3 linked regions of the Elephas maximus indicus genome follow. The protein of the gene in region 3 purifies or fractionates together with the protein of the main gene of each other region. This does not show direct contact. Links are inferred from orthologs where the notes say so. Each region holds a gene or a part of one and is shown on either strand. Other genes may lie near its edges. The genes, in order: GABARAPL1, MAP1LC3A and RETREG1.

Region 1 (7,366 bases), on a different chromosome or scaffold from region 3:
AAAATTTTGCTTGTGTGTGATATTAATGATATTGTTCTATAATTTCCAAATTCGGTTGGATCACCTTTCTTGGGAATAGGCATAAATATGGATCTCTTCCAGTCAGTTGGCCAGGAAGCTGTCTTCCATATTTCTTGGCACAGAGAAGTGAGCACCTCCGGTGCTGCATCTGTTTGTTGAAACATCTCAATTGATATTCCATCAATTCCTGGAGCCTTGTTTTTCGCCAATGCCTTCAGAGCAGCTTGGACTTCTTCCTTCAGTACCATCGGTTCCGGATCATATGCCACCTCTTGAAATGGTTGAACATCGACTAATTCATTTTGGTGTAATGACTCTGTGTATTCCTTCCATCTTCTTTTGATGCTTCCTGAGTCATTTAATATTTTCCCCATGGAATCCTTCACTATTGCAACTCGAGGCTTTTCACTATTGCAACGCGGCGTTTCTCAAGCAGAAAGAACTGAGGAAAAAATTCAAGCCTTGAGTTGCAATAGTGAAGATTGTGATTATGTGGGAGCATGTTTTTATCTTAGGAAAAATATGCTGAGTATTTTGGAGTGAAATATCACAATATTTGTGATTTACTTTCAAGTGGTCCAGGAAAAGAAAAATCAAGGTGGTGAGTGAGTATATGGTTGTTTATCATACTATTATTTGAAATGTTTGTTATACATGTTTAAAAATGCCATGCTGACAATAAAGGTAGAGAACAAACTTTGGAAATTAAGACAACCTACGAACATTTAGAAAAGCTTTGTTGCAGGAAGATTAATGGAAATTTCATCTCCAGGTTCTTTTTCACATGTAAATTGCCACTGTCCTTAGGTATTTTTAAAGTTTAAAAACAGCAGCCTAATTAGATAAGATTGTTTTCAGTAGATTTGATCAGAAAACAACAATCTTAAAATTTCAATCACTACCATAATTTCCTTTCTCAACTGGTTGTAAAGTACTCTTTTGAAAGATTTAGCTGTGTTTGGATCATAGCTAAAACAAGTGACTAAACCAAAAACCAAACTCATAGTGACCCTATAGAACAGAGTAGAACTGCCCTATAGAGTTTCCAAGGAGCAATTGGTGGATTCGAACTGCTGACCTTTTGGTTGGCAGCTGTAGCACATAACTACTATGCCACCAGGGTTTCCAAACAAGAGACTAGGGACTAATTAAACTATTTTCAATTTGAAAATAAGGACTGAAAATTATAAGCATATAATGTGATAAACCACTTACGAATTTTCATATATAAAATGGATTGAAAGACGCTATGGAGAAAAATAATTAAACTTTAGAAATGGAACTATGCAATCATTTTCCTTGTTTGAATAATGAACCTTAGTTTCATTTATTTTGTGGGCTTGTTTTTAAAATCAGAGGCATTGAAACCCTCATAAAAGGAGACAGGAGATGGGGGCTGCTGTCATCTAATATTTTTCTGAACTCATTAAGGGCAAAACAGACCTTCGTTACTAGTCTATAATGTTTACAATTTCCACTGCCCTTCCCCTAATGGTCCTTTGATTCTCAGTGGCGAAAGAGGAACACCAGAAGGAGGCACCAGCCCCACCACCCAGAGTCTTCCACTGTGCTTCCTACTGGTGCTTTCTATTCATGTAAGGAATTTTATAGTACTTCATCTTCAAGGAGCCCTGGTTGCCAATGGCTAAATACTTGGCTGCTAACCAAAAGGCCTGCAATTTCCACAGCTGAAAAGACTTGGCAATCTGCTCCCTTAAAGATTGTTTTCGTGTTGTTAGGTGCCATCCAGTCGGTTCTGACTCATAGCGAACTTCTGCGTAACAGAACGAAACACTACCTGGTCCTGCATCCTCCTTACAATCATTGCTATGTTGGAGCCCATTGTTGCAGCCACTGTGTCAGTCCATCTCGTTAAGGGTCTTCCTCTTTTTCACTGACCCTCTACTTCACCGAGCATGATGTCCTTCTCCAGGGTCTGGTAATCCTGATAATACGTCCAAAATATGTGGAACAGAGTCTCGCCATCCTTGCTTCTAAGGAGCACTCTGGCTGTACTTCTTCCAAGACAGATTTTTCATTCTTCTGGCAGTCCATGGTATATTCAGAATTCTTCACCAGCACCATAATTCAAATGCATCAATTCTTTGGTCTTCCTTATTCATTGTACAGCTTCCATATACATACGAGGCAACTGAAAATACCATGGCTTGGGGTCAGGTACACCTTAGTCCTCAAAGTGACATTTTTGCTTTTTAACACTTGAAAGAGGTCTTTTGCAGCAGGTTTTCCCAATGCAAACACACTCAGCATTTCTCAAGCTGAAAGGAGTGAAGAAAAAACCCAAGCCTCATGTTGCAATATTGAAGGATTCTATGGGCAAAGCGTTGAACATCAAACCCATTGCGTCGAGTCAATTCCAATTCACAGCGACCCTATCAGGCAGAGCAGAACTGCCCGATAGGGCTTCCAAGGAATGGCTGGTGGCTTCAAACTACTGACCTTTTGGTTAGCAGCCTAATGCATAACCAGTGCACCGCCAGGGCTCTGTTGAACATCGAAGGAAGCATCAAAAGGAGATGAAAGAAATATACAGAGTCACTGCACCAAAAAGAATCGATTGATGTTCAACCTTTCCAGGAAGTATCGTATGACCAAGAACTGAGGGTACTGAAGGAAGAAGTCCAAGCTGCACTGAAGGCTTTGCCTTAAAACAAGGAAGACTCCAGGAAATGATGGAATACCAATTGAGATGTTTCAACAAGTGAATGCAACACTGAAGTGCTCACTTGTCTATGCCAACTGACTAGAAGAGATCTATATTTTGCAGTTCCAAAGAACGGTGATTCAACAGAATGCAGAACTTATAGAACAATATCATTAATATCATATGCAAGTAAAATTTTGCAAAAGATTATTCAAAGATGTTGCACCAGGGAACTGCCAGAAATTCAAGCTGGATTCAGATGAGAACGTGGAATGAGGGACATTAGATGGATCTCGGCTGAAAGCACACAACACCAGAAGGATGTTTACCTGTGTTTTATTGACTAAGCAAAGGCATTCAACTGTGTAGATCATAGCAGATTATGAATAGCATTGTGAAGAATAGGAATTCTGGAACACTAAATTGTGCTCATGCAGAACCTGTACATAGACCACGAAGCAGTTGGAACAAGAGAATAATGCGTGGTTTAAAATCAGGAAAGGTGTGTGTCTGGGTTGTATCCTTTCACAATCTGTATGCTGAGCAAATAATCTAAGATGTTGGACTATATAAAGAAGAATGCAGCATCAGGATTGGAGGAAGGCTCATTAACAATCTTTGATATACAGATGACACAACCTTGCTTGCTGAAAGCGAAGAGGACTTGAAGCACTTATTGATGAAGGTCAAAGTCTACAGCCTTCAGTATGGATTACAACTCAACATAAAGAAAACAAAAATCCTCACAACTGGATCAATAAATATTATTCAGGATAAACAGGGAAAATATTGAAGTTGTCAAGGATTTCTGTTTACTTTGATTCTTTAAAGATTACAGGCTAGGAAACCCTATGCGGCAGTTCCACTTTTCCCACAGGGTCGCTATGAGTTGGAATCCACTGGATGGCACACAAGAACACTTCCATATTCAGGTGAATTGTTTTCCAGAAGACAGGCCCAACTTCTGGGTCAGTAGGAGAAAGCCAGTGATCCCTATCTGTGAACGCGCCTGAAGCCCTTAGCAGTCATCACTGACATCACCTCTTCTCTGGACCCTGATTACCCTCCGTGCCCTTCATATTACAGGTCTCTTCAAATTCCTGAGTCATGCTCTGTTTATGTTGCTGTGCTAGGAGCAAACTGTGGCATGGATCCAAACAAAACTGACGCGAGCGTGGGGAAGGAGAGTGCCTGGTGGGAGGTGCCCAGTGGGTGCAATTAAATAGGCAAAGGGCAAAATGCAAGCACAGGACATTTCTGCACTGGCCAAAAACAGACCCTAGGTCCCCCATTCCTTTTTTTCTCCAGATCCCGGATCCCAATAAGCTGGAAAAAGCTGGATTTTAGTTCTTTGTATTTATTTTTGGACTCAACCAAGAAACAGCAGGGAGGGAAGAAGACATTTTCAGAACAATTTTATTTCGTTTTAGAACGATAGTTAATGTCACATGAACATTCAAATAACACGTAAATACGTCATGGTTGCAGTGGGATCTACTTAGGAAAGGTTTAGCTAGAAAGAAGATACAATGAAACAGACAACGTACTTGTCTACCCCCATCCTGCGCTGTTCCGAACGCTGGGGGCGGGACACGGGGCGGGGTTTGTGGCGTCACAATACCAACGCGCTGCTGTGTTGTTTTTGTGTCCCCAGCTCCTGGGAAAAGCCGTCTGGATCTCTTTACCTGGCCATCTTCTACTGCCAGGCGAGGCGACCAGAGATCCCTTCCGAACGCTCTGCCAATAGTGTTGTGGCGGGAGCTGGCACTTCTGAAGCGATCCTGAAACCTATTGAAATTTGACGGAGAGGAGCAATACGCGAGAGACGCAATCATCAGCGAGGAAGGCAGGCCCCGTCTGGGGATTTTAGAAACCCTGCGGTCCATCATGAAGTTCCAGTATAAAGAGGACCATCCCTTTGAATATCGGAAAAAGGAAGGAGAAAAGATCCGGAAGAAATATCCGGACAGGGTCCCTGTAAGTGTAATGGGAACGGGTGGAGGGTAGGGGAGAAAGTGGGGGGAGGGTTGGAGAGCTGGGGGTTGGGGAGTCGCGATGGCTGCCCTAAGGAACAGAAGGGTCTCCGAAAAAGGGAGGTCTCTAAAAATTCCTTGACCCCGGATGTCCTTCGCTAGCTGCCGGAGCTAGTGGACTTTTCAGACTGCGGAGCTTTCCAAACCCGTATCCCGAGGGCCTGTTCCCATCTTCATAGCTGACCGCATCTTTAGAGCGAAGCCAATGTCTCGAGTGACTCAGCAGTTTTCAGAAGATGTGGCCTTTTTGTGCGAGAGTCATTAGTTTGGGGCTCTAGGTTTGCTTCGTTTAAGAACGCACGGAAATTACTATGGGAGCGACTGATGCCCTGGGGTTTGCGCCTGTCGATTTCTGCTATAGGTGGTTCTCCTTTCATCAATTTCACTCTGACCTGGTTATCCTTGGGCTTGGGAGGGAAAAGATGGGAAGCCAGTGGATTCATTCTCGTATTCTGTTAAGATTGGGGTAGGGGGTGGGGGGCACCACAAGACAGGTCTGGCTCAAAAACAAGGTCACGTTCTCTGCGCAGCAACCGGCTTGCTTCATCATTCTTGGCTCCAGGGGCAGTGTGTAGTGACGGCCAGCTTTCCTGGGTGCTTAATCTGATCAAATCATACCTGGGCACGAGACAGACTGAGACCTCTTTCTGTTTTAGCCCCTGATTTATGTAGTTAAAACTAGTGCAGAAGGAAAAGATGAAATAAATAGCAAGGCATCTTTCAGCATCCGGGCGTTTTTCCAGTTTGTCCCCTCCCCCGCGCACTTGCCTGGTTTCCCTCTAATGTAGGCTGCGCAGCCAGAATGAAAGACAGAAGCCTGTGGTAGAGGGAGCAGCAGTTTTGGGGTGTTAGAGATAGAAGAGCAGTGACCGTAGGGTTGTGCTCTTTATCTTCAGATATGGGCATTTGGATGATGTAACTGGTAAAGGAATTGTAAATGTAACGGGTAAAGACATTGCAATTATCTGATGTCCTTTCTTGACCTGCAGGTGTTCCTGGGCCTCCTCTAAACAGCTACCAGAGGCAACTTGGGGCTTAGCCCAGCAGTACAAAGCCCTCGTGGTCCTTTCCTATAAAGAGGAGACATCAGAGCCATCCTATTCCCCAGCAATTACACACAAAAGGGTTTTTTAGCTGGAAAGGGGAGCCAGCCTTATTACCCAGTAAAGAATTCTTCACAGTTTATTTTCGTGGTCTCTGGACCTTGGATGATTGTTTTAAAATCGTCCCCCAATTCTCGTGGCACCAATCCCAGTTTTCAGTAATAGTATTTAAAAATGAGAGCTAATATTTACCAGTAACTTACCCTGTATCTGGTGCTATTATAAGTGTCCTCTATATAGGCATCCCATTAACCCTCACGCTATTATAATCCCCAGTCTATAGATGAAGAATCTGAAGCACAGAGACATGAAGTAACGTCATATTGGTGGTCTGTGACCAAGCTGAGATTTCAGCTTCACCTCTCATGCATAGCGCTATGGGCATGCCTAACCTCCATGCCACATTGCTGCTCAATTTCTAATGTAGCTCTGTTACCAGAACTAATTAAGTGCCTCTCACTGTTAGGTATTGGAAATAGATAAACTATTGCTGCCCTCAACAGTTCACCGGAAAAGTAACTCAGTAAGCAAAATGACTACAATTTATTCAGGACTTGCAAAGTACAAGGAACTGTGCCAGTTGTTGTTAGGTGCCGTCGAGTCGATTCCCACTCATAGTGACCCCTGTGTACAACAGTAGCTTCACATAAATGACAAACTGAAATTTACCTGTTCCTAAATCTAGTTAAAATTTCCATATGTTTCCCTCAAACCGAGTCCTCCCTATTTCAGTTATTTACATGCATCCATCCAGAATGTTTCAGCTAATTCCCTCTGTTCTTTTCCTGCCGTAGTTTGGTGTTGAATGTTTTATTTCTATGTTAATTTATTAGCCATTACTCAGATCTCATGGCTCCTACAGTTATGTTTTAACCAGTAACAAGCCTCTGAACTGCTTACTAGCTTCTCTGCCTGTGACCCTCTTTAATGGTTATGCAGGGAGAAGAGCTATGTGGTCTTAGTTCTGTAATTTTGTTTCTACTTATGGCTTCACAAGGATTTCCCTGTGCCCTTGGGCAGAATCCCTAAGCTCGCTGTGATAAAGTGTCTTCCTTTATGGAAAAGAGGGGTAGAGTCAATGATTTCTCTGCTCTCTCCAGTTGGACCATTGGTGTTATTAAAGCAATCTTGTACCCTGATTGCTTAGAAAACCTGATTTTAGCTCCAGTCAATATCCCTTAATACCAAAAGAACCAAATCCACTGCCATCAATTCGATTCTGACTGATAGCGACCCTGTAGGACAGAGTACAACTGCCCCATAGGGCTTCCAAGGCTGTAATTTTTACGGAAGCAGACTGCCACGTCTTTCTCCCATGGAGCAGCTAGGGGATTTGAACCACTAACCTTTCAGTTAGCACCGAGAGCTTAACCACTGTGCCACCAGAGTTCCTTCCATTTAAAAGAATAAGTGTGCTTGTGCCTTGGGAAGGAAGGGATTAATGGGATCTTAAAATTATGTTAATAGTTACAATGTATTGAGAACCTACAACAGAGCAGAAAACTGCTAGGAACACAATGTGTGTGTGTTTTTTTTTAATTCAT
Region 2 (6,328 bases), on a different chromosome or scaffold from region 3:
TGACAGCAGTGGGTTTTAGTTTGGGTCTTCTTGTCTGTAGATTCCCTTGGATTTTCTGGCTGTCAGTAACAGTTTTGCCCCTTTCTGTCCAGTCCTTAACAATTTTATTCTTCTTGTCTTGCTTTGGGTGGGCCCTCCATGCAATATTGAACAGAAACCCTTGGTTCCTGACTTTAAGCGGAATGCTCACTATTTCACCATGTAGTATGGTGTTTTACATTAAGTATAATGTTTGCCGCAGGTTTGGGATTTTTTATCTTGGTAGAACTCACGTGGAAAACCATCTAGACCAGTTGATTTTTTGGGAGATAGATTTTTAACTTTTTTTTTCCATTTTCCCAATGTTCTTAATAGGTATAAGGCTATGAAGTTTGTCTACTTCTTTTTGAGTTAGTTTTAGCAAATTATATGTTATTAGGAAATTGTCTATTTCATCCAAGTTTTAAATTTACTGGCATAAAGTTGTTTACAATATTCCAGTCATTTTTGTGATTCCTGTTCTATCTGTAGTTATGTCTCTTTTGCACACTAATGCTCATTTTATCGGTCTTTTCAAAAGCCCAACTTTGATTTGTTGATCCATTAATTTCTGCTCTTATTATCTTCCTTCCACTTTCTTTGGGTTTACACTGTTACTCCTTTTTAAATTTGATGCTCTGCTTAAATTTAATTTTATATTAAATTACCCATATACATAATAAGGCTAGACATCTCCTTCTAAGACTGCTGCCTTAGTTGCATGTCCTTCCAAGAGATTTTGATATCTGTCCTCATTTTTTATCAAATCTAAATGTTTTCTATTTCTACACGATTTCACCTTTGAGTACAGAGTTATTTGGAAGTATGTTTAAATTTCCACTTCCCCACTCTGTGGTCAGAGGATACGGTCTGCATGAAATTGATTATCTGGTATCTGCTGAGATTTTTCTGGCGGCCTAGTGGTTAGGTAATTCTTTGTAAATGTTTCACACGTGACTTAAAATAACTTGTTGGGTTCAGGGTTCAACTGAAGTTCAATGATCAGGATTATTGTGTTAAAAATCTTCTATATCCTTTCTTTTCTGGCTGCTTGGTCTATCAGTTACTGAGAGAGAAGTATTAAAATTTCCTAGTATGGAACATTTTGATCAAAGATTCTATAGAAGAATCCTGATCAAAATGGAGAAAATATAGAACAGAATTTCAAATTCTCATTGAATCCAAACTTTCCAAAGCTGTGGAGGCTGGATGAACCCCTGAAACTATTGCTCTGAGATAATCTTTAAATTTGAAACCAAAAATATCCCCTGAAGTCTTCTTAAAACCAAACAATAGTGTAGCTTAACTAGTAAAAAATGTCTGCCTTGAGCATTATGCTCTTTCAAGATCTATCTTTATGGGATCAAACTGACAACAGCAACTCAAAAGATTAGACAGGAACTTAGGGGAAGTGAGTTTATGTTAATCAGGGAAGAACAATTCGGAAAAGCAGGGTGAGAATGGTTGCACAACTTGAAGAATGTAAACAGTATCACTGAATTGTACCTGAAGAAGCTGTTGAATTGGTGTAAGTTTTGCTGTCTACATTCTCTACAACAAAATAATAAATTAAAAAAAATTTTTTAAAGATTTTAAAGCAATAAAAAAAATTCCTAGTATGATAGAGTATTTGGCAATTTCTCCTTATACTTCTGACATTTTATATATTTTGAGCCTATTGTACCTGGAACATACAAGTTCAGAATTGTTATATCTTCCTAGAGAATAGTGCCTTTCATCATTTTCTAGTGACCTGTTTTATCCCCAACAATGCCTTTTGCCTTAAAGTCTATTTTGTCTGATTTTGCTATACATACATACTTTGGTTAGTTTTTCTATAGTACATCTTTTCCCACCTTTTTTTATTTTTGATGCCTTTAGGTTTTAAGTGTCCCCTTAGGCTGGGTACTCTAGAGAAGCAAAACCAGGAAAGCATATAAATACACGCAGGGAGAGATTTATATCAAGGAAACAGCTCACGCAATTGTAGAGGCTGGAATGTCCCAAGTCTGTGGATCAGGATAGAGGCTTCTCTTGATTCACGGAACTGCAGGGGCTAATGAACCCAAGATCAGCAGGTCAGAGAGCAGGGCTCCTGCTCTCAGGCTGTGAAGATCGACAAATCCCAAGATCTGCAGACAGGCTAACAGCCCAAGTCCCAAGAGCCGGAGGTCAGACAAACAGGAGGAAGCCACAGGATCCAGAGTGAGCAAAAAGCCATAATGTCTTATATTCGGATGCAGGCCACACCCCCGAGGAAACTCCCTTTCAACTGATGGGCTACTCACAGCAGATTCCATCATGGGAGTGATCACATATAAACACTGAGAATCGTGGCCCAGCCAAGATGACACGCAATGTTAACCATCACGCCTTTACAGCACAGAGCTGGATTTTATCTTCCTTAGCCAATCTGATAACGTTTTTTAACAGGTGAACTTAAAACACATTTCCTACCTCTGGTTTTGTGCTGTTTACCATCCTTTTTACTTTACTTCCTTTTTCTCCTTTCTACCTTCTATTGTATTTTTAGCACCCTTTTTTACTACCCTTTTCTCTTTTCAGCACTGACAGTTATGCATTCCATTTCTATTCTTCTAATGGTCACTCTTAAAAGTTTAAAATACATATTTGACTTTCCGAAGCCAGACAACTGTCAATATCTTTATCCTCCTCTCAAACAAATCGGATTTCTTAAGAACACTTTAACTCTGATTACCCTCTCCTGCCTTACATGTTATTGTGTCCCATGCACCTTCTTTTTAATCCCCACAAATTAATCATTACTATTACTGTTCTAAAAGCAGTGGCTGAGCAATCAGCTGCTAACTGAAAGGTCAGCAGTTTGAACCCACCAGCTGCTCTGGGGGAGAGAGATGTGGTGGTCTGTTCCTGTACAGACTACAGGCTTGGGAACCCTATGAGGCAGTTCTACTCTGTCCTACAGGGTAGCTATGAGGCGGGATGGACTTGAGGGCAACGGGTTTGCTTTTTATTCCTGTTTTTGCTTTTTTATTACTGTTCTATATTAAGTGCCTGTTTAGACTTACCTAGCAGTTTACTACCTTATGTGCTCACCATTTTTTCATCTAATTTCTTCCCTCTGGGTTACTTGTTATTATTAAAGTATATCCTTCAAAAATTATTTAAGCAATCATCTGTGTAAACTATGCCTTTGTCTTAACATATCTTTCCTTCTCTCAGACTCTTAAATCATGGATTAACTTACTAGTTGACCATATTTTTCCCTCAGAAGTTGAAGATGTTATTACATTTTATTCTGGCTTTTATATTTGCTGCTGAGAAGTCAACCATCAGTCTTATTTTCCTGCCACAATCTTTCTATTCTCTCCTTCTGGAACTCTGATGATTAGACCTGTGAGTCCTTCTCACTTTATTATTCATGTCACTCACTCATTCATACTTTCCATCACCTTCTTTCTCTGGGTAAATGCTTCCGATCTATCCTCCACTTCAGTGATTTTCTCTGCTATTGTGTCCAATTTGTGTTCTTATCCCATCCACTGAGACTTGAATTTCAATGCCTCTATTTTTCAATTCTAGAAATTATTTTTAAAACCTGTCTGCTCCTTTTCCGTGTCTTCCTCTTTCCATACGTTGAAATTCTTCCCCTCTCCCACCTCCCCCCTTTTTTTCCTGTAACCAAAAGCTCCATGAAGGCGACTTTGGTTCACTGCTCTTATCTCCAGCATCTAGTACAGTCCTTGGAACTCCGCGCGCCCTGGGTGCGCGTTTGTCAAATGACTTAGCGAGAGTGGGACCAGGTGGATGCTGAGTTGCTGCCGGGCCCACGCTCTCCTACCGGCATGAGCCACACGGCCCAGGTTGGGTCCGCCCCCCGCTCCCTTTCACCCCATTCCCCGCAACGGTCTCGCCGGTTTTCAGCTTTCACCTCAGTCCGGAACTTGGCAAGAGGTGCCCGCGCAGACCATGACGTCAGGGGACTGTGACGCTCCCTGGGAACCCCCGCCCCTTCGCGTCGCCGGGCCGGGAATCCAGGCTCTCTGCGCCGTGACGTCACGGACTCGGGCGGGCGGGTTTTGCGTCGGCCCAATGGGAGCGGCGCGCCGGCCTCCCCTTTAAGGAATGTTGTGACCTGACGTCACCGGGGCGAGTTACCTCCCGGAGCCGCCGCGGCTGGGCTCAGCGCGAGCCCGGAGCCCTTGAACGCGAGGCGAGGAGCCCCCGGAGCCCCCGGAGCCCCCGAACCGCAGCCACATCCCTGCGCCGCGCACCCCGGAGCCCAGACCTGCGCGTCCCGCTGGGCCCGCGCGATGCCCTCGGACCGGCCTTTCAAGCAGCGGCGGAGCTTCGGTGAGGCCTGGCGGGCGGTCTGCGAGCGCGGGATGGGGGGCGTCGGACCCATTCCGACTGCCGCTGGTGACGTCAGCCCCATGACGTCAGACTCCGGCTGGCCCCGGGGCTGGGAGGCGGGCTCCGGCCGGGCCGGGGGCATCAACGCTCGGTCCTGTGCCGGGGACTGCGGGGCCGGACGGCCCGGGGGCGGGGGCTGGGGCGGGCGGGGCGGGGCTGCGGCCGCCCCTCGGGAGCAGGACGGGACCCGGAGAGCACCTCCGCCCGGCCTCACCGCCCCACCGACCGTCGTCCGCAGCCGACCGCTGTAAGGAGGTGCAGCAGATCCGCGACCAGCACCCCAGCAAGATCCCGGTGAGGCCCGCCGTCCCCTCCCCGTCCCCGCCCTGCCCCAGGCCCCGCCTTGGGCTCACGCACCCCCCCCCCCCGCCCCTCTCCCAGGTGATCATCGAGCGCTACAAGGGTGAGAAGCAGCTGCCGGTCCTGGATAAGACCAAGTTCCTGGTCCCGGACCATGTCAACATGAGCGAGCTGGTCAAGATCATCCGGTAAGCGGGCAGCCCGCCGCTGGAGAGGGACTTGGGTCCAGCTGGCGTCAGGCAGGCGACCGATGCCCTCCGGGAAGAGGCTATGGTGGGGCCAGGGCCTGGGACCGGTGCTGGGCATCTGTTCTGGGGCGGCCAGACAGTCAAAAGGGTCCGGGCTGGGGTCAGTGTGGAGACAGAGATGAGACCCTTTTGAAGGATCTGAGGTGGTTATGAAGCGAAGGTTGGGAGCCATCCTGGGGAGAGGGTTGGGGGCTAAGGGACCGGGCAGCTCACAGTCCGCATGCCCTCCCGCCCGCCTCAGGCGCCGCCTGCAGCTGAACCCCACGCAGGCCTTCTTCCTGCTGGTGAACCAGCACAGCATGGTGAGCGTGTCCACACCCATCGCAGACATCTACGAGCAGGAGAAAGACGACGACGGCTTCCTCTACATGGTCTACGCCTCCCAGGAAACCTTCGGCTTCTGAGCCAGCAGTAGGGGGGGTTGGCCTGGGAGTGGGGGGGGGGGGTGGGGAGCCAGTCAGGCTCTGCCCAGGGAGCCCCTGTCTCCTGAACCGAATTGCCTCTGCCCCTGGTGGGCTGGGCAGGGATGTGGCCCCGTAGCCAGGGGACATCAACCATGCCACCTGTGCCCCTGGGCAGATCCTGGGCCAGTCACTTTAGGGTTGCCCCTCTGGGTGTTGGCTGGGATGGGGGAGGGTGGGGAGCCGCCCCCTGCACCCCTGCTCTGTGTGGTTTGTCTTTTTTTTAGGCCCATGCCTCTCTGCCCATCTGCCCCTCACCCACCCGAGGCACTGCCCCGTTCGTGGACCTGCTCACCCCTAAGGACTGGTCCCTGGCTTCCCTGGTCTTGACATGGTGTATGGATCTGTGGTCATTGTTCCTCTGCAGAATTAAAGATTGCTCAGGCCTGCCTGGCCCTTTGCCTCCTGCTGCTTGCTTGTGGGGTGGGGAGGGTTGCTGATGAGACTGTGGGGAACCATTCTCAGCCTGCAGGGAACAGACTTTTGTTCTGTGGACTCAGGGCTCATTCTGGAAACCCATGCCAGTGTGTAGTAGTGTTGTTGGGTGCTTTTGAGTCAATTCTGACTTGTTGTGACCCCATGTGACAGAGTAAAACTGCCCCATAGGGTTTTCTTGGCTGTAATCTTTAGGGTCGCTATGAGTTGGAATCGACTCCATGGCACTGGGTTTGGTTTTGGTTTGGAATCTTTACAGAAACATACTACCAGGTCTTTCTTCTGCAGAACTGGGTGGGTTCAAACCGCCAACCCTTGGTATTGTGGCAGTATGAGGGGCCAAGCTACCCTCTCCAGGCATACACTGTGGTCCCAGGGTAGACATCTTCATAACAAAAACATTTATTAAGTAGCCACAACCCAACAAGTCCTGCCCACCTGCATCTTCCTCCTTTCTGCCTACGAGGGAGC
Region 3 (6,930 bases):
GTTTGTCAGTCATTATTAGAGGCCAGAGGTGCAAAAGACAGATGAGCGCAATTAGTCCAGCCCTTTATGCAAAACAGTTCTGCCTGTGAGTAGTATTTAAAAACAGGAGGGCTGCCAGTAGGGAGGTTTATCATTAAGCAAAGATAGTAAGTGTTGCAAACCACACCGAGCAACTGGAGCTTAGCTTTCACATATCTTGGTCCTCAACAGCTTTTGCTGTTTTCACAGATCCTGACACCAATAATTAGAATTCAGGGGGAGAAGGAGGAATGTGAAGAATCATGTTTTCTGGGAGCACTTCAACACTGGTGAGGGCAATGGGGAAGCCTGGTTCCCAGAGGAGCAGCCAAAGGTCTAAGAATGAGGCAAGCCCTGGGCTGTATCAAATGCTAAACGAAGTCCACATTACACAATAAAGCATCATTTATCTTTCAAAAGCTGATTCTCCAGGGCCAAGGGAGAAGCTCAACACCTCTGAAAAGACAAGTTTGTCTTTTGTGGGGAAAATCCTGCATTGTTTCCACAGTGCTATTTCACCGCCTCTCAGGCCACATTCCACTGGGTGGCAGAGGTCCTCTGAAAAGACACCAAGGGCTCCACATGGCCTTCAGGTTAAAAACCACTTCTGACACTGGTGGATCTTTCACTTCATTCCACTGCGAATATACACAACCAACCCTGCTTCTTGAATCAGCACCTCCACCTGCAACTCCATACCTTCCTCGTGTTAATCTCCCATCAGAAACCAGTGCCTGTCCCACCCCCTCTTCATTCTCCTTTCTTACAATGTAGCACCCAACCAGCTGCCGTGGAGTCAGTTCCGACTCATGGTGACCCGACATGTGTCAGAGTAGAGCTGTGCTCCACACAGTTTTCAATGGATGGCTTTTCAGAAGTGGATCGCCAAGCCTTTCTTCCAAGGTACCTCTGAGTGGACTCCAACTTCCAACCATTTGGTTAGAAGCCAAGCGCGTTACCATTTGCACCACCCAGGGGCTCCTACAATTTAGGTCAGATATCAACTATTCCAAAGAGCCTCCTGAAATCTGACTCCTCCACACCCTCCTTAATTTTGGATGCTCAACTTAAGCAAAGAGTCTCTTAGCACTTAGTCTTTATTTCTGTCACCGCATTGACCACGCTTGTAATTGGCTCCTTGTTGGACTGAACTTCCTGTGGGTGGAAGCAGTATCCACAGTTCGTGGAGGAGCACTGGGCATGTAGTAGGTACTCACTAAACCTGTGCATGGCCTTTGGGAATATACCTCTTTCAGATATAATATACATACAGAAAAGTACACACATCTGCAAAGCACAAATGGATAGATTTTTACATATGTGTATGCACGTGTAATGAACAGAACAAGGGGGTACGGTGTGGTTTAAAGTCAGGAAAGGTGTGCATCAGGGTTGTATCCTTTCACCATACCTATTCATTCTGTATGCTGAGCATATAATCCGAGAAGCTGGACTAAATGAAGAAGAATGGGGCATCAGGATTGGAGGAAGACTCATTAACAACCTGCAACACACAGATGACACAATCTTCCTTGCTGAAAGTGAAGAGGACTTGAAGCGCTTACTGATGAAGATCAAAGACCACAGCCTTCAGTATGGATTACACCTCAACATAAAGAAAACAAAAACCCTTTCAACTGGACCAATAAGCAATATTATGATGAACAGAGAAAAGACTGAGGTTGTCAAGGATTTCATTTTGCTTGGATTCACAATTAACTCCCACGGAAGCAGCAGTCAAGAAATCAAAAGGCACATTGCATTGAGCAAATGGGCTGCGAGAGATCTCTTTAAAGTATTAAAAAGCAAAGATGTCACCTTGAGGAATAAGATGTGCCTGACCCAGGCCATGGCGTTTCAATCGCCTTATGTGCATGTGAAAGCTGGACAATGAATAAGGAAGCCCGAAGAATTGACAGAATTGATGCCTTTGAATCGTGGTGTTGGCAAAGAATATTGAATATACCACGGACTGCCAAAAGAACAAACAAATCTGTCTTGGAAGAAGTACAACCAGAATGCTCCTTAGAAGCAAGGATGGCAAGACTACATCTCACATACTTTGGCATATCATCAGGAGGGATCAGTCCCTGGAGAAGGATATCCTGCTTAGCAAAGCAGAGGGTCAGCAGATAAAGAGGAAGACCCTCAATGAGATGGATTGACACAGTGGCTGCAACAATCGGCTCGAGCATAGCAACAATTCTGAGAGTGGTGCAGGACTGGTCAGTGTTTCCTTGCATTGTGCATAGGGTTGGGAACCAACTCCACAGCACCTAACAAGAACAACAACATGCATGTATAAACATAAGCAAGGACCACTCAGATCAGCAGAAGGAATGTTTCTCCAGACAATCCCTTGAGGCAGAGGGCTTTGAGCGCTCTGGGAAGGAGCCCCAGGCAGCCTGTGAAAGCTGGCTGGTTCTAGTGGTCGACTCAGATATGAAAGCCCTGCTTTATTGCATGCAGAGCTCTAGGGATGGGTGTGTACAGGTGGGGGAGAGGGATAATGTTTTATCCTAGAAGCAAGAACTGGGAGATTAAACAATAGAAACATTTATAAAACACAAATAGTGAAAAGCGAGCATATACAATCACTCCCCATCTCCCACAACTGTTCAGCCAGAAGCCCCAGGGCCAAAGAGGCTCAGCATTGTGAGGTCCCAGGAGACCCTGTCATCTGCTCACTGCCTCCTCTCCTCCACCCTGGTGCCTGCTTGTGACAGGAGACCTCAGTGACTTTGAAAGAACTGCAATCTGGGCTTGCCAAATCTGGTTTATATAACTTCGACTCTGTTCTTCGCTCTGCTACATAGAAACTGTGAAAGTGCCCTGAATTTTCCCAGTGCCAGCACTTCCAAGGAAGCTTTCAATAATTGCTACTACTTTTGCAGTGACAGAATGGCCTGTCTATAAATGCCTGTAGATGATGATGATGATGGTGAGTACTCTGACAGCAAAAATCGAGTCAGCTTCTTTATTATGGAGTGTACTCTCCTTAAAATTGGGAAAGGGTGTGTCTTTGGGGGGCACTGGGCAAGAACACTATATACTTTTATAAAGGTAAAATGACATTTAAATATCAAAGTACCTTTGTAAAGAAAACTGTGAAACCAAAACGCAGAACAAAGAATGGATGTGAGAAGAGCAACAGCACACCCTCACCCTTTTTATTGGTGGCAGGGATGTCCCTTACTGAGTGCAACCCCACTCACCTGTGCCTTTGAGCCAAGTCACTTTACCCACAAGAAACCCAGAGTCACAGAGGGAAAGGGCCTTCCTCCAGCGCCGCGGCCTTGCATTTCCTCACTTGTAAACGAGAGGATCAGGCTCTCCGTAATTGACTCCAATTTTTTTTTTCCCTGCTTTCTCAGTCCAACATTTATATCCTCATGGTACTTCCAGGATGCCAAAGACCTCAATGCCTATGGTTTGTGCAGGCTGTGCCCTGTGAGGGCACTGGGCTGGGGGAAGGTGAGGGGACTCGATGGGGCTGAAATCCGCTGTCACAGGCTCCAGGACCGGCGGGCGGTAGCCCTGGCTTGAGACAGTGGAGGTGTCCAATTTATTTTGCTTGTAGCCTTGACTTCATTTTAGATAAGTAACCTGCAGCGGCGTCACCTCTACTTCAGACCCACTCCCCCAGTCGGAAACAAAAAGGGGGTAGCGTTCATTTTCTGTGGTCCCTGGCGAAGCCAGTGCCAGGTCCGAGCGCCCCGGAGAGAGCGCAGCTGCGCACCCACCGCGCGGGGATGCCGCCCGGCCCCGCCCCCGCGTAAACTTGGCCGCACCCACTTCCCCGGGCGGCGCCCCCGCCGCGGCCCGGGCTGACGTCACAAGGCACCCAACCACCGGCGCCCCGCGCTGCGCGCCCCGCGCCCGGACCCGCCGACACCCAGGCGCGCCGCGCGTCCGCGTCCTCGCCGCGCCGCGGAAGATGGCGAGCCCGGCGCCCTCGGAGCCCGCGGAGGAGGGATGCCCGGCCCGAGCTCCCCGCGAGGAGGCGCAGGAGGAGGAGGGAGCCCACGAGCAGCTCGCGGCGGCCGGCGCCGAGCGGCAGGTGGAGGAGGCCGCGGGCCGGGCGGCCGCCGCCGAGACCTGGCTGCTCGGGGAACCGGTGCTGTGGCTGGGCTGCCGCGCCGACGAGCTGCTGAGCTGGGAGAGGCCGCTGCGCAGCCTGCTCGCCTTCGTCGGCGCCAACCTGCTGTTTTGGTGAGAGCCCGGGTGGGTGGGGGCGCTGGGGAGGGCAGGTGACCTTGGGGCGCCCCGGGGCGGGCGGGCGGAGGGCGCGCCCAGAGGCCGGGGCGGGGGCTGGCGGGGCGCACGCTGGGCACTGCAGAAGAAAGAGCGTAGCCCGGCCCCACTTTCCGGGCCACCTGCCTCGGACAGGTAGACACTTCACCTTGCCTCCAGACACACTCGCCTGTAAACAGTAGTCAACCTCGTGGGTGTATCCAGCCTGAGACTGGAGGTGGTCAGCTAACCTGCACGCACCTGTCCCTACAGGTGTGCCCGGCGTGCTGGAAAACTTCGGCTTTTCCTTTCTATAACTCGCAGGTCTTGACCTGCTCGCCCAAGCATGCCTGAGCCAACGTGCTTGAGCTTGTATTCATTCTGCACCCCGAGCAGGCGAATCTGGACCATCCTAGATACACGTTCAAGGCTGCGCCGCCTTCCTGAGCCCCCTGAGATGGGCCTTGAATGGCTTGTTTTTCCTTTCCCTGGAGTGTTGGGTTTACCGTCTTTACTCCCTGACCAGAAAACAGTCGGTAGACAGGTGGATTATGTACAGCATCCCTCCCTCCAGGTGTGCACAGTGTGGAAAACAGACATATTTTTAGGTGATGGACAGAGAGAACACACAGGAATGCTTTCTTAAAAGCCCACAATCAACAGGTCTGTCTCTCTAAAAAGTGCTTTTCGCTGTTAAGGAGGTAGGGAAGTGTCTGGCCCCTTTACTGAAGGACTTATCCTGTCAAGGCTCCCGACCTGAATGAGGGTGGGGTCCGGGGGAAGCCTCTGTCTAATGTGCCTACAGAACAAACATGACCCCCAGTGTGCAGGATAAGCCGAGTTTCAGAAACACGTATCTTGTTACAGGACCTAGATTTCTTCACCTTAAAGTTTGGGAATATACACAGTTTACTCCACCCTCAATTTTCTAGGTTAACGTGAGAAATGTGAAGATTTTTCTGCAGCTTCTGCCCTAGTCCTGTTTTTCTCCTCACATGACCTATGTCTGTCTTATCCGGGTCCCTGAGTGTGAATTAACTTTACCTTGGGCATCTTAGCTGTATCTCTTAGCTCTCTGTAACAGCTAAGGTAGAGTTTATTTCAAAAATCTCCAGCCTGATAATAAAATCTATTAAGAAAACATTCTGCATCCCACTTTCGAGAGAGATGTCTGGGGTCTTAAATGCTAGCAAGCGGCCATCTAAGATACATCAACTGGCCTCAACCCACCTGGAGCAAAGGGGAATGAAGAACACCAAAGACAAAAGGTAATTATGAGCCCAAGAGACAGAAAGGGCCACAGAAACCAGAGACTACATCAGCCTGAGACCAGAAGAGCTAGATGGTGCCTGGCTACAACCAATGACTGCCCTGACAGGGAACACAAAAGAGAACCCCTGAGGGAGCAGGAGAGCAGTGGGATGGAGACACCAAATTCTCATAAAAAGACCAGACTTAATGGTCCAACTGAGACTAGAAGGACCCCAGAGGTCATGGTCCCCAGATCTTCTATTAGCCCAGGGCAGGAACCATTCCCAAAGCAAACTCTTCAGACAGGGATTAGACTGGACAATGGGATAGAAAATGATAGTGGTGAAGAGTAAGCTTCTTGGATCAAGTAGACGCATGAGACTCTGTTGGCATCTCCTATCTGGAGGGAGATGAGAGGGCAGAGGCGATCAGAAGCTGGCTGAATAGACACGAAAAGAGAGAGTGGAGGGAAGGGGTGTGCTGTCTCATTAGGGGGGAGAGCAACTAGGAGTATATAGCAAGGTGTATATAAATTTTTGTATGAGAGACTAACTTGATTTGTAAACTTAAAGCACAATAAAAAAAAAAAAAACCCAAACTCCAGCCTGTTATGAAGTTACACAAACACTCAAATGGAGAATATATTGTAGTATTCTCGATTGGGCAACAGGCCAAATACTGTTAGGGTTGTGAAGAGGCTCAGATCTTATTATCTCATGTATCTTACCAATGGGGGACATGTTTCTAAAGCTTTTTTTGGTTATTATTTAAAATTTTATTTTTAAGAATAGCTAATACATTCTCAGGGTTCAAAAGTTTAAAGGTACAAAAAGGTAAAACCCATTGCCCTCGAGTGAATTCCAACTCATAGTGACCGTAAAGGACAGCGTAAAACTGTCCCATAGAGTTTCCAAGGAGCAGCTGGTGGATTTGAACTGCCCACCTTTTGGTTAACAGCCAAGCCCTTAGCTGCATCACCACCTGGAAAGGTGCGCAGGGTAAATACTCTAAAACTCGCTTTCTCAAGCCTGTCCCTGGCCACCTAGTTTTTGCCCAGTGACAATCAGTGTTACCAGTTTTTAGTATTCTAGGCAAATTGTGGAATACTGTGTGGGTGATAAGGAACCCTTGTGGTGCAGTGGTTAAGCGCTTGGCTGCTAACTGAAGGGTCATCGATTTGAACCCCCCAGCCACTCCACAGCATAAAGATGTGGCAGTCTGCTTCCGTAAAGCTTCCAGCCTTGGAAACCTTATTAGGCAGTTCTCCCCTGTCCTCCAAGGCCCCTGTGAGTTGGAATCAATTGGATGGCAATGGGTATATGGACATTACTCTTCTCAGTATATCTTGCCGATCACTTCCTCGTTCTTTTTCAGAAGCATAGAATTCTGAAAGTTTAACCTGCCCACTACTGATGGACTAAGGTTGTT

The links.
Region 1: the proteins of RETREG1 (region 3) and GABARAPL1 purify together in Homo sapiens (affinity purification with western blotting; 3 studies listed by BioGRID and IntAct, with this or other methods). This does not show direct contact. The link is inferred for Elephas maximus indicus from reciprocal best matches to the Homo sapiens genes RETREG1 and GABARAPL1.
Region 2: the proteins of RETREG1 (region 3) and MAP1LC3A purify together in Homo sapiens (affinity purification with western blotting; 3 studies listed by BioGRID and IntAct, with this or other methods). This does not show direct contact. The link is inferred for Elephas maximus indicus from reciprocal best matches to the Homo sapiens genes RETREG1 and MAP1LC3A.

The regions. Positions count from the first base shown.
Region 1 is NC_064822.1:67,457,265-67,464,630, forward strand, and holds the start of GABARAPL1 (gamma-aminobutyric acid receptor-associated protein-like 1), read left to right. Parts: upstream 1-4,285; 5' UTR 4,286-4,573; coding exon 4,574-4,663; intron 4,664-7,366. UniProt on the Homo sapiens protein: Ubiquitin-like modifier that increases cell-surface expression of kappa-type opioid receptor through facilitating anterograde intracellular trafficking of the receptor. Involved in formation of autophagosomal vacuoles.
Region 2 is NC_064843.1:34,897,199-34,903,526, reverse strand, and holds MAP1LC3A (microtubule-associated proteins 1A/1B light chain 3A), read left to right. Parts: upstream 1-4,150; 5' UTR 4,151-4,313; coding exon 4,314-4,353; intron 4,354-4,651; coding exon 4,652-4,707; intron 4,708-4,794; coding exon 4,795-4,901; intron 4,902-5,202; coding exon 5,203-5,365; 3' UTR 5,366-5,372; intron 5,373-5,649; 3' UTR 5,650-5,816; downstream 5,817-6,328. UniProt on the Homo sapiens protein: Ubiquitin-like modifier involved in formation of autophagosomal vacuoles (autophagosomes). While LC3s are involved in elongation of the phagophore membrane, the GABARAP/GATE-16 subfamily is essential for a later stage in autophagosome maturation.
Region 3 is NC_064820.1:20,173,194-20,180,123, reverse strand, and holds the start of RETREG1 (reticulophagy regulator 1), read left to right. Parts: upstream 1-3,865; 5' UTR 3,866-3,955; coding exon 3,956-4,230; intron 4,231-6,930. UniProt on the Homo sapiens protein: Endoplasmic reticulum (ER)-anchored autophagy regulator which mediates ER delivery into lysosomes through sequestration into autophagosomes.